Linked DNA regions of Cricetulus griseus. The protein of the gene in region 1 binds, or shares a complex with, the protein of each later gene. Links are inferred from orthologs where the notes say so. Each region holds a gene or a part of one and is shown on either strand. Other genes may lie near its edges. The genes, in order: F7, Poglut1 and F3.

Region 1 (3,651 bases):
CTTTTTGGACACTTTTTATTTAATTAACTTTTTAAAATTTATTTTACATACCAACCACAGTTTCCCCTCCCTCCTCTCCTCACAGATGACACCAGCTAAGACTCCTAGCAATAGTGTACAGGGTGCCTGACCTGGTCATCTACTTAAACCCATATGCAAATTTTTACAAGAGAAAAAACTATAACTCCTAAAGCACACTTGATGTGCCTACTATTTTCCCAAAGGAAAATCCTTATTCCAGAAATATCTAGGGCTGCCTGTGAAGTTGACCTGAGAAGGGAAGATTGCCCTAGCAGGGAGGGCTGCTCACACACACATGCAACCCTCACTGCTGTCCCCACAGTAGGTGGTTCCTTTAGGGAACATGTGAAGAACACTGTGGCTTCCTCCACCACACGGCCATGTGTACTTCGATTATGAGTTACTCTATTTGTTTGTTTCTTTTAATTTGAAGCAAGGTCTTGCTATGTAGCCCAGGCTAGCTTCCAAAACTATCTTCCTGCCTCTGCCTCCTGACTGCTGGATTTACAGTATGTGCTACCCTGCCCAGCACTGTGGTTTCATTTTGTAGAAGAGGCATATTTAAACATTATTGAGCATTTTCCGTTCTAGTTAAACATCTGTCTTTGAGTGTTTTTTTTTTTTCCCCTAGGAAGGGTGTGTCAAGATAGGACAATCTTTGAGACTGGGTTCATCATGTTTAGTTTTGTCATCATCGCTGGAAAAATACAGTTAATCACATTCCTGAAGTAACTGTGAGGGGTTTATTTTTCATTCTCCAAGGGATTTTTTTTCTCTCACCAGCTTTGACTCATATCACATCTCAAACATCTCTCTCACACAAGTTCTCATGCTAAAGGCTTCACACTCACAGGAGACCTCACACTCACATTCAGAGAACACCTCTCTCGAAAAAGTTCTTACACTCACAGGAGGCTTCACACTCAAAAGGCCTCACACAGGAAACTCATGTACACAGGAGAATTTACACCCACAGAACACCTCACACAGGACACCTCACACAGAGGACTTCATTCTCACAGGATATCTCATACAGAGAACCTCACACAGAACACCTCATCCTCACAGAATACCTCACACAGAGCACCTCACACAGGAAACCTCACACAGCACACCTCACACAGAACACTTCATTCTCACAGAACACCTCACACAGAGCACCTCACACAGAATACCTCACACAGGATACCAAATTCTCACAGAACACCACACACAGAGAACCTCACACAGAACACCTCACACAGGACACCTCACACAGAATACCTCACACAGCACACCTCACACAGCACACCTCACACAGCACACCTCACACAGGATACCTCATTCTCACAGAACACCACACACAGAGAACCTAACACAGAACACCTCACACAGGATACCAAATTCTCACAGAACACCACACACAGAGAACCTCACAGAGAACACCTCACACAGGACACCTCACACAGAATACCTCACACAGAACACCTCACACAGGATACCAAATTCTCACAGAACATCTCACACAGAACACCTCACACAGAATACCTCACACAGAACACCTCATTCCCACAGGATATTTCACAGACTCAAAGGATACATCACGCAGGATGACACAGTCCATTCATAGAACAGCTCTTTCACAAGTGTCCTCACACCCATAGGACACCTCACACAGGGAACCTGCAGAAGTTACTTTTCTCATTGGTACAACCAAATACCTGACAAGAAACAACTGAAGAAAAGACAGGCTTATTTTGCTTCATAGTTCAGGAGGAAGGCCATCTTGGTAGGTAGGGAAGGCGTGATATCAGGAACACGAGGCAGCTAGCTGGTCACAGTGCATTCAGTCAAGAGGTAGAGACTGATGTCTGCTGGTGCTCAGCTCATGTCTTCCTTTTTATTCAGTCCAGGGCTCCCATGGAAGGATGCTTACCACATTTAGGGTTCCAGGCCACTGCAGGGGGGGGGGAGCCGCATTGGGGCCAGAACTCAGGTGCACTGACTTGAGAGAGGCTACTGTGTCGTGGCTTTAGATGTCTCTAGAAAGGGCATAGAAAACATCCACCTCAGATAAGCCAGAGGGAATCTGTCTTCCCAAGTCCCTCACAGAGGTCAGGAGCCCCACCCATAGCTCCTGAGCTCCCTCCATGGACACTAACTGCTACAACTTCTCATGAGCGTGCCTCACATGGCTTCTTCTTCCCCCTCAGAAGGAGTTCTGGATTGTTTACACTGGTGAGTAGGTGAAGAGCCATTTGTGCCCCTCCCTTGTGGGCCTTCTTTGCAGCACACTAATGCCAACTCACCCACAGATGGGGACCAATGCGCCTCGAATCCATGCCAGAACGGGGGCACCTGCCAGGACCACCTCCAGTCTTACATCTGCTTCTGCCTCCTAGACTTTGAGGGCCGGAACTGTGAGAAGAGTGAGACCAACTTCCTGCCTCAGTTTACAGATGGATGGAGTAGGGAGGGGAGGACCCGGGTCCCTGATTCCAGGGTGTTCAGCCTCAGCCCCTGTGGGAAACCCGTCCAGGAGACATTAAGTACTCTCTTCAAATTGAGAGTCTAAGGTTTGGGGTCTCAGACTCAGTGTCCCTTTTGGCTCCCTACCCTGGGGATTCTGATGATCTGCGGAGAGGTGAGGAAGGGTCCCTATGTCACTATTCAGCTTCTGTCCCCACCAGGCAAGTCAGCCAGGTGAATGTCACCTGGTTTAAACGCCTGCTGGTTTAAATGTATGAAGTATTTCACCCTCTGCCTGCTGGTTTAAAGGTGTGAAGTATTTCTTCAGCTCTGAAACATCAAACTATCGTTAAGCTTAGAGTCCATCAAAGCACACTGGCCCCAGAAGTTCCTCAGTGGGCCTCATAGAATCCACTGGCTGCAGATTTACACATGTTTATTTTGTTACACCAAAATTTGTGAAGAAGCCAAGAGCAGACTAGCCCAGAGTCCTCCAAACGCCACTGAGGCTGCCACTGTTGAGACTTCTTAGATGTGTGGCTCCCAGCTCCAGGTCTCCTCCCTCCGGATCAGTCCACAGGGCAGGTGATGCCAAGTTCAGTCTCAATAGTCTGCAGCTGCACACTGCCTCCCAAGGGGACAAGGACAACCGCCATCATGGCTGGCCTGCCAGCCTCTCAGCCTGTTTTCTGTCCTCAGACAAGAATGACCAGCTGATCTGTGCAAATGAAAATGGTGGCTGTGACCAGTATTGCACTGACCATCCAGGGACCAAACGCTCCTGCCGCTGTCATAAGGACTATGTGCTTCAGCCAGATGGGGTGTCCTGCAAACCGAAAGGTATGGGTCCCAAGGGCTGGTGCTCTTACACCCTGGAGAGCCAGTCACCTTCGCTGGCCCGTGGCAAGTTATCAGCCCAAAGATGTGTAACAGACCAGATCCCGGCTAAGCAAGCATCTAATAGACACTGAATGGCTGTGAGGTGGAAGACAGTGAGCTGAAGGACACCCTGCCTGGGAGCTGTTAACTTGGAACTCTGGGCCAGCATCCTGCACTGTCTCAAGTGCCCTGCCCATTAAAGTCAGGCCAGGGGTGAAAAGAGGCCCTTCATCTCCTCTAATGTCCAATCTGGATATCTTTAGGACACGCCTGGGAGTCACATAGACACACCTGGCATATCTG
Region 2 (3,651 bases), on another chromosome or scaffold:
ACATCCCAGTCAAAACAGACCTCTCCAATGTCCAGTAAGCTCTTAGTCCCAACTTACAGTGTCATATGACCATGCTCTCCGAAGTGCAGCTACGCCAGGTGTTTTCTCAGATGATTTCATTTTCAGTGGGAACTTTTCCCCTGTACACATGTGTACTGGCATGTGTTATAATTGGGATTGAATTTGAAGCACTTTAATTTACAGTGCTGTTTCTAACACAATGTTAGATGAAGGAAAGGCTTTGACCTTTCAGCAACTGCAGATAGATTTGGCCTTGTTATATTGTTATTTAGTGAAGCCCTGGCAGAGTCTTTCATGGTGGGAGGAGACAAAAAGAGGTGTGGATGTGGAGAAGGGCCAGAACTGTGAACCAGTTCCCTCCTGGCTGGAACGAGGTAGAAATTAAAGGTAGGTGTGTGTGTGTGTGTGTGTGTGTGTGTGTGTGTGTGTGTGTGTGTGTGTGTGTGTGTGTGTGTTGGGGGGGAGAAACACTTGTGAAAGAGCATATGCACTTGTCACTGCACGTATGTGGTGGTCAGAGCACATCTTCCAGGAGTCTGACCTTGCCCTCCGCCTGGCTGAGGCAGGGTCTCCTGTTTCTACAGCTGTGCTGCGCCCTCCAAGTTTGCTGGCCTTCGGGCTTCCTGGTGATTTTCCTATGCCTGTCTCCTACTAAGACAACAGAAGATTGCCACCACATCCTGCTTTTCACATGAGTTTCCAGGGGAGACTTGGCTTGTCACGCTGTTGCTGCCACCTCCTGAGCCATTTTTTTGGCCCCAGAAATTATTTTTCATACTTGGTTTATTATTATTGTTGTACATTTTTGTTTTTTCAAAAGTATATCTCAAATTTATGTACTAGAACATAGTATAATTGATGATAGTGACAGGTGACAATCTGACTTTAACCTGTAGTTTTTTCCATCTTTTGTCTTTTTTGAGATACGGTTTTATGTAACTTAGGCTGTTTTCAAACTTGTTATATAGTTGAGGTGGCCTTGAGCTCCTGATCCTCTTGCTTCTACAGAACTCCTATGTGCTGGGATCATCAGTCCCACTGCTCCTGGTTTTGTATATAGAGTCTTTTTCTTTGCTATTATCTTTATTTCTTTAGTTACCCTAATATCTTTGCTTTAAAGAAATTATCTGCAACCTACATATCTACAGATTTATCTATTTATCTGTTGTCTTTTTTTACTTGGTTTTAATGAATGTGATCTATATTTTAAAAGCTGGTGTGTGTGTGTGTGTGTGTGTGTGTGTGTGTTGTGTGTGTGTGTGTGTGTGTGTGTGTATGAAGGCCATGCTGTGTATGGCACACATGTGTTTGTGTGTGTATGAAGGCCAGAGGTCAACCTTAGATGTTGTTCTTCAGGGGCCATACATTTTGTTCTCTTTGAGACAGAATCTCCTGCTGGAACCTTGTGCTTGCTTATTAGAATTGGCTGGCTGGCCAGCAAGCACCAGGGATCCATTGGTCAATACTTTGCTAGCATGGGAATTAAAAGCACAACCCGTCATGCCTGGCTTCTTATGTGGGTATCAGTGTCAAACACGGGTCCCTGTGCTTGCATGGCAAATACATTAGCAGCTGAACATCTCCCCAGCTTCTACAGTGTCATGGTTCTTGTCATTTTAGGGAACTGTTGCAGTTTGTAAAAGCAAATGATGATATTGCTCAGGAAATTGCTAAAAGGTAAGCTCTATTCATTTGTCCTTTCTTGCCTCATCTGTAGTAAAGTTTTCTAAATAGAGTTACATGATAATGTCCACACCTCAGCTTCATACAAAAGTACTCCAGAGTTAAAGCTATGCTGAAGGCAGATACACACATCCACAAATGCTCCATGTTTTATACAAACAGATTTCAGTCTTTTGAAGATTTATTTTTAAATTGTATGTATATTTGTGTCTGTTTATGGGTATATGCATGTCAGTGCTGGTGCCCAGGAGATCAGAGGCATAGGACCCCCTAGTGTTGGACATGAGCTGGCCCTTTGCAAGAGCAGTACACTTAACTACTGAACCCTCTCTCCAGGCCCTAGATTTCAGTCTTTGAAGAACTCAGACAAATGTTTTTAGCTGGACATGGTGACTCACACCTATAATTCCAGCAATGGAGAGACTGAGTCAAGAGATCGTTTTGAGTTCCAGGACAGTCTGGGCTATGAAGTGAATTCTAGGCCAGCCTGAAGGAAGGAGTAAGAAGTCTCAAAACTCCAAACCACACCAAGACAAAACAACAACAAACAAGTGTTTAAAATGAATATTGGCTGGTAATGATGCTTGGGGTTTTTTTGGTTTGTTTGATTGTGGTTTTTTGTTTGTTTGGTTGGTTGGTTGGTTGTTTTTGAGACAGGTTTTCTCTGTGTAACAGTCCTGACCGTCCTAGAACTCACTTTGTAGACCAAGATGGCCTAGAACTCATTGAGTATCTCCCAAGTGCTGTGATTAAAGGCTTGCACCATCACCACCCGGCAATAATGCTTGTTTTGAGAATCAAATGTTAAGTGCTCTTGCTAAATACATGCTTATGGATATGACAGTTACAGGGTTGGTTGTGAGGTGCTGGTGAGTTAAATCAAATAAAATACTCAGAACGAGGCTTGTGATAAAGTAGCCTAACTATATGTGGACTTATTATTAAAGCCTGTAATATACTCTTGTTAATCTTATCTCTAGGGGAAGCCAGTTCATCATAAACCATTTGCACATGAATGACATCACCTGTTACTGGGAGAGCCTCTTGACTGAATACTCCAAATTCCTGTCCTATAATGTAACAAGAAGGAAAGATTATGATCAGATCATTCCCAGACTTTGGAAAACTGAACTGTAGTCATCATCAGAGGACTGGAATCCTGGCAGTGGATCTGAGATGCTCTGTGGTGAAATACCATGAGTGTGACACCTATGCTTTGAACACCTTTGCCAAGCCTAGTATTCAGTTTTCCTTATCATGTTGTATCTGGGAGGACTCTTGAGAAAGACCTAAAAATGTATGTGATGAACAGCTATTTGAATGTTTGAAATCATGAAATAAGGATTTGGAACTACATCCTATCTTTCATTTTCTTATGATCAATCACAGCTTGTGCCTCAGGTCATCTACATGTATCATCACTGTGAAATTGACTGGGTCCATGTGAAGATGCCCTTTGTCCTATTATTTGGAGCAGATCATCATCCATCATTTGGTACAATTCATATCTGCAACTCTGAAGTTATTCTAGGCTTGATGTCTATTACTTAATTTTAGTGTAGAAATCCTGTGGGGTTTGTGAAAGTACTGCAATGGTCATGTCCTGAAGAGTCTAAGGAAGCAGTGGCTGTGCCATGCAGTGCTGTTGGTGTTCTCTTTTGTAGAAGGATAAATTCTTTGGCACTCAGGAGGTTCCTATAATGCCTCAATTGCCTGAGTTATTTTCGCAGTTGGATTTCAAGTGCCTGTTTTGTGCCTTCATGCCTGAGAAATTCGTTAATACATTAGAAAGCAGTCTTGAGAGAGAGAGAGAGAGAGAGAGAGAGAGAGAGAGAGAGAGATGTCCCTGTAATACTAGCACTTCTTCTGAAGTAGAAACAGAAGGATGAGTTCATGACCACCCTCAGCTACAAGAGTTCAAGGATAGCCTTGAACTACTGGCTACAT
Region 3 (3,651 bases), on another chromosome or scaffold:
AACACATTAATATGAAAGTTTGCCAATTTCTTTGAACTTTCAACAGTACCTAGAAGGGGGAAAAAAAGAAACCAAATACCACTTTACAAAAGGACAGCTGTCAGAAAAGTCTACCCAATTTCCATTTTAACTGTTCTATAGCCAATGAAATCAGCTTCTTAAAGGCTCTCCCAAAAGTCCACCCCAGTTATACGAAAGGCATCTGTCCCCTGGTGACCTAGTGTCTTCCTGAGTGTAGAATAGACAATCTAAAGCATTTGTGCAAAAGACTCTGTAGTGTTAACCTGTCTGTACCCTTCAGTACACTCTAAAGTGACAAATGCTAGTGTTGGAATCAGAGTGTTGGCTGGAATATCAGGTCGCAAAGGGAACCTTTCTGTACCAGGATCATCAAGCTCTCTGCTCCATATCCTTGGTCCCCATTAGAGGTCTTGGTAACAGTGCCCTGCAGGTAGTGCAGGATTTAGAGGCTTCAGACTCCTTCCTCTCCTCTATGCTGAGCGAAGTGGGGAGTTCTCCTTCCTTTTCTGCCCTGCTCTGCCCTTTCTGTGCTTGCACAGATATATGGACAGGAAGATGACAAAGAGGATGAGCACAAACACCACTGCTCCCACAATGATGAGTGTTTCTGAAAATAAAAAATAAAAGATACAAAGTCAACTTGGAGGCTCAAATCCCATTCACAGGTGGGCATGACCCCAAACTACACCATCCTTCGTTTTTTCAACCGAAAGTCTATTTCTTTTACCCTTTCTACCACTCTTAGACTAAGAAAGAATTTACCTGGCCTCATATGCTTGAGAGAAATGACAATGGTTAAGCATTAAATGAACCACTCCGTGTTCCTGGCTAGAGAAGACTGTGACTTGGTACTTAAGTCTGAATTGCATACACAGTGCCCCATAGAATTTGACCCATTGCAATTGCCTAGGGAAGTGCTTGCTAACTAAGGGAACCATGTGGAATCATTTCTAAATTTTCCCAAAGAGAACTCAAAAAGAAACCCTAAAACACCCTAAGGTGGCTTCTCCCTGGTGTTTGATCCAAAGAGATACATGTTGTCTCTGCTGTGGGGCAGCCAATCCTCCATGGACACTTACCTCCCATTATACTCTCCCATTCGTCCGAGCACTCGGTGTCGCTTTGTGGGCTCTGCTGGTCATCTTTCCTGGAGTTAATCAGAGCTTGTACAGAGAAGCAGTAGCTTACTGGTTGATCCACAAGAATGGAGAAATCATTAGTTTTTGTATTGGCTTGCTTCTGTGAAAAGATAAAGAGTTCTTCTTATTCCATCTAGACTCAGAGTGAATTCTTTCCCCTTATTTAGTCACTGGGGAGGGTGAAACCTGAGCTCTAAGCAAAATCTATGCAGACATCATTGACATAGGATGACTAGAAGTTACTTGGCTAATCAGTAACTCCTGATAACTGTTAAAGATACCTTTGCCAAGGCTGAAAAGATACAACTTAGGTACATCTGACTCAGTTCAGCCCCCCCTTTTTTTCTGTAGGAAAAAAAAGAACCACTGAAGAGGGGACATTTGGGGGCCAGGGATGTAACTCATTGATAGAGAACTTGTCTAGTGTACAAGGCCCTGGATAACAACCCAAGCATCACAAAGTAGCACAAGCGCTCACGAGAGAGAGAGAGAGAGAGAGAGAGAGAGAGAGAGAGAGAGAGATTAGTTAATAAGTCATTTCCCCCTCTGGGAACCCCAGTGAGGATGTGGGAGAGGACAGGAGCCTTGGAGATGATCTGGTCCAGCTCTTTGGTTGAGAAACTGGAATCTCTGAAAGGACCTGCCCAAGGGCACAAGGCAACTAACTCAAAAGTGACAAGAGAATGAGGACCTGTCATCCATACCGCCATGTCAACCCCTACTCCTATATTTGAACTAGGAAACCCCTATATTTGAACTAGGAAAGAAGTGGGCTGTGGAGAATCAAGGTTCTATAAAACAAGGAATAAAAATGAATGAAAAATTTCTCACCTTTCCTGAGCTTGAGTCTCTCCAATAAAGAAGTTTATAACTCAAATCCTTGCCAAAAACCTCCCGCAAGGTGAGGAATGTGCCGTTCCTTCGGACCGCTGTTTGTGTGTCTTCTACCGTCACATTCAGCTGGGTATCCTTTTGTTTAAAATGCTTAATTACTGGCTGTCCAAGTTTTGCTGGAATGGGAAAAAAAAACAAATTATCTTTGTTGGACATTAGAATCAATACAAAGAAAAGATCACTGAGTTGTCGTTAACTGACAACTCCTCCATGGCTCATATAGAACATCTGTACTGAATCAGCTCCAGTAGCAGGAGTGGTGGGATCCTAGAGCTGAGTTCCAAGACAGCATGCAGCAATGCCATCCTCTGGAAACATAGGAGAGCTTTCCTTACAACCATCAGAAAATGTGAAAAGGAGCTGGTGGAATTAATCTTAATAATAAACTTTAACAGGTTCATTGGTAGACTAGCATTTTAGCATGCAATCAATATAAATACTTCATGTATATTTTGCATTTTTCAAAAACTGGCGTATGTTTCATCTTGGCAGTATTAGCAGTATTTCTAGAGTCTGGTTGCCATGTGTGTGGATGGTTGCTACCAGGCTGGATGATGCAGTTTTACAAGCGTCCATATTTTAGCTAAAATAAATTAGGGGCTGGGAAGCCCAAGAAGTGTCCCTGGTCCACCAAGGAATCCATTTTAAGCTATTTCTGGTTCAGTTCCCTCATGTGCTCCAGTTATGTGATGATCAAATAAGTCCCCACCCTTTGCAGTGTGTGTGTGTGTGTGTGTGTGTGTGTGTGTGTGTGTGTGTGTGTGTGTGAGCATGTATGTTCTGTCATGTACCAAAAGGAGTTGGTCTGGATTATTGAAAGCTCAAGAACTACAAAGGATAATCATGGCTCGGGCCATGAGACCGTCAGTGAGCCTGCATGAGATGAAGGTGTCATGCAGAAACAAACATACGGGGGAAAAACACAAAGGAGTCTGAAGAGAGAGGCTTGTCAACCAATGGAGACCCTAGGAAGAAGGCCACATTCACCTGGGTAATTAGCCCATGAGAGCAGATATCAGACATAAAATTCTGGTCAATTGTCCCTCACCCTTCTCACCATCCATGTTACAGAGCTGTCAAAGGGGTACAGATAGGAACATCAAGAATCCAACACTTTACTTTGAGTCAGCAGGGCTTGCAGAAGTAGTAGAGTTCATTCAGTCTCCCTAATATGCTGCGTGTGCTCACGAAATGTCAGCTTCTGAATCACAGTCCCACACCCACCACCACCCCCAAAAAGTCTCCTACTTGGCAGGAATTCTTTGCATTCCCTTATTAGATGGCAGACTAGCACACTGGCACAAAGGTAGGGAAGAAAGTATGCCACACGCTCAAACCCAGCTAGAGGGAGGCTGGCTCAGAGCTGGCGCACACTGGCTCATCTCAGGAGCAAATGAAGCTCAGCTGGTTGAGGAACCAATTACCTATTTACAGGTACAAGCAAGCTTCCCTGTGGATCTGGGTTTGTTTGGGGACAATCCTCAACTAGGACCTCTAATCTGAAGGGATAGAAAATCCATGTGTGACATGTATCCTGACAGTGTATCCCAAGGAAAAGCCACAGCCCTAGCCTTGGTTCAACCTCCAGCTGGTTACT

Evidence for each region.
Region 2: the proteins of F7 (region 1) and Poglut1 are in contact, whole or in part, in a crystal structure (PDB 5L0S), measured with the Homo sapiens proteins. The link is inferred for Cricetulus griseus from reciprocal best matches to the Homo sapiens genes F7 and POGLUT1. Residues at the interface, in NP_000122.1 of Homo sapiens: Asp108, Gln109, Cys110, Ala111, Ser112, Ser113, Pro114, Cys115, Gln116, Asn117, Gly118, Gly119, Cys121, Gln126, Ser127, Tyr128, Arg139, Asn140; in NP_689518.1 of Homo sapiens: Met103, Phe104, Pro105, Ser106, Arg107, Arg132, Asp133, Pro171, Ala172, Trp174, Pro178, Thr179, Thr214, Asn239, Gln240, Ala241, Val274.
Region 3: the proteins of F7 (region 1) and F3 are in contact, whole or in part, in a crystal structure (PDB 6R2W), measured with the Homo sapiens proteins. The link is inferred for Cricetulus griseus from reciprocal best matches to the Homo sapiens genes F7 and F3. Residues at the interface, in NP_000122.1 of Homo sapiens: Leu73, Lys78, Phe91, Arg96, Leu99, Phe100, Ser103, Ser120, Lys122, Gln124, Leu125, Ile129, Cys130, Phe131, Cys132, Leu133, Pro134, Phe136, Glu137, Gly138, Arg139, Lys145, Gln148, Ile150, Val152, Asn153, Glu154; in NP_001984.1 of Homo sapiens: Thr49, Asn50, Lys52, Ile54, Glu56, Trp77, Lys78, Ser79, Lys80, Phe82, Tyr83, Glu88, Asp90, Asp93, Gly141, Gln142, Thr144, Glu162, Arg163, Thr164, Leu165, Arg167, Phe172, Tyr188, Trp190, Lys191, Ser192, Ser194, Ser195, Gly196.

What each region holds. Positions count from the first base shown.
Region 1 is NW_023276807.1:67,735,660-67,739,310, reverse strand, and holds part of F7 (coagulation factor VII), read left to right. Parts: intron 1-2,213; coding exon 2,214-2,238; intron 2,239-2,315; coding exon 2,316-2,429; intron 2,430-3,168; coding exon 3,169-3,309; intron 3,310-3,651. UniProt on the Homo sapiens protein: Initiates the extrinsic pathway of blood coagulation. Serine protease that circulates in the blood in a zymogen form. Factor VII is converted to factor VIIa by factor Xa, factor XIIa, factor IXa, or thrombin by minor proteolysis.
Region 2 is NC_048597.1:51,614,967-51,618,617, forward strand, and holds part of Poglut1 (protein O-glucosyltransferase 1), read left to right. Parts: coding exon 1-34; intron 35-1,641; coding exon 1,642-1,698; intron 1,699-2,684; coding exon 2,685-2,841; 3' UTR 2,842-3,651. UniProt on the Homo sapiens protein: Dual specificity glycosyltransferase that catalyzes the transfer of glucose and xylose from UDP-glucose and UDP-xylose, respectively, to a serine residue found in the consensus sequence of C-X-S-X-P-C.
Region 3 is NW_023276806.1:36,748,947-36,752,597, forward strand, and holds the end of F3 (tissue factor), read right to left. Parts: intron 2,171-3,651; coding exon 1,992-2,170; intron 1,261-1,991; coding exon 1,101-1,260; intron 629-1,100; coding exon 492-628; 3' UTR 270-491; downstream 1-269. UniProt on the Homo sapiens protein: Initiates blood coagulation by forming a complex with circulating factor VII or VIIa. The [TF:VIIa] complex activates factors IX or X by specific limited proteolysis.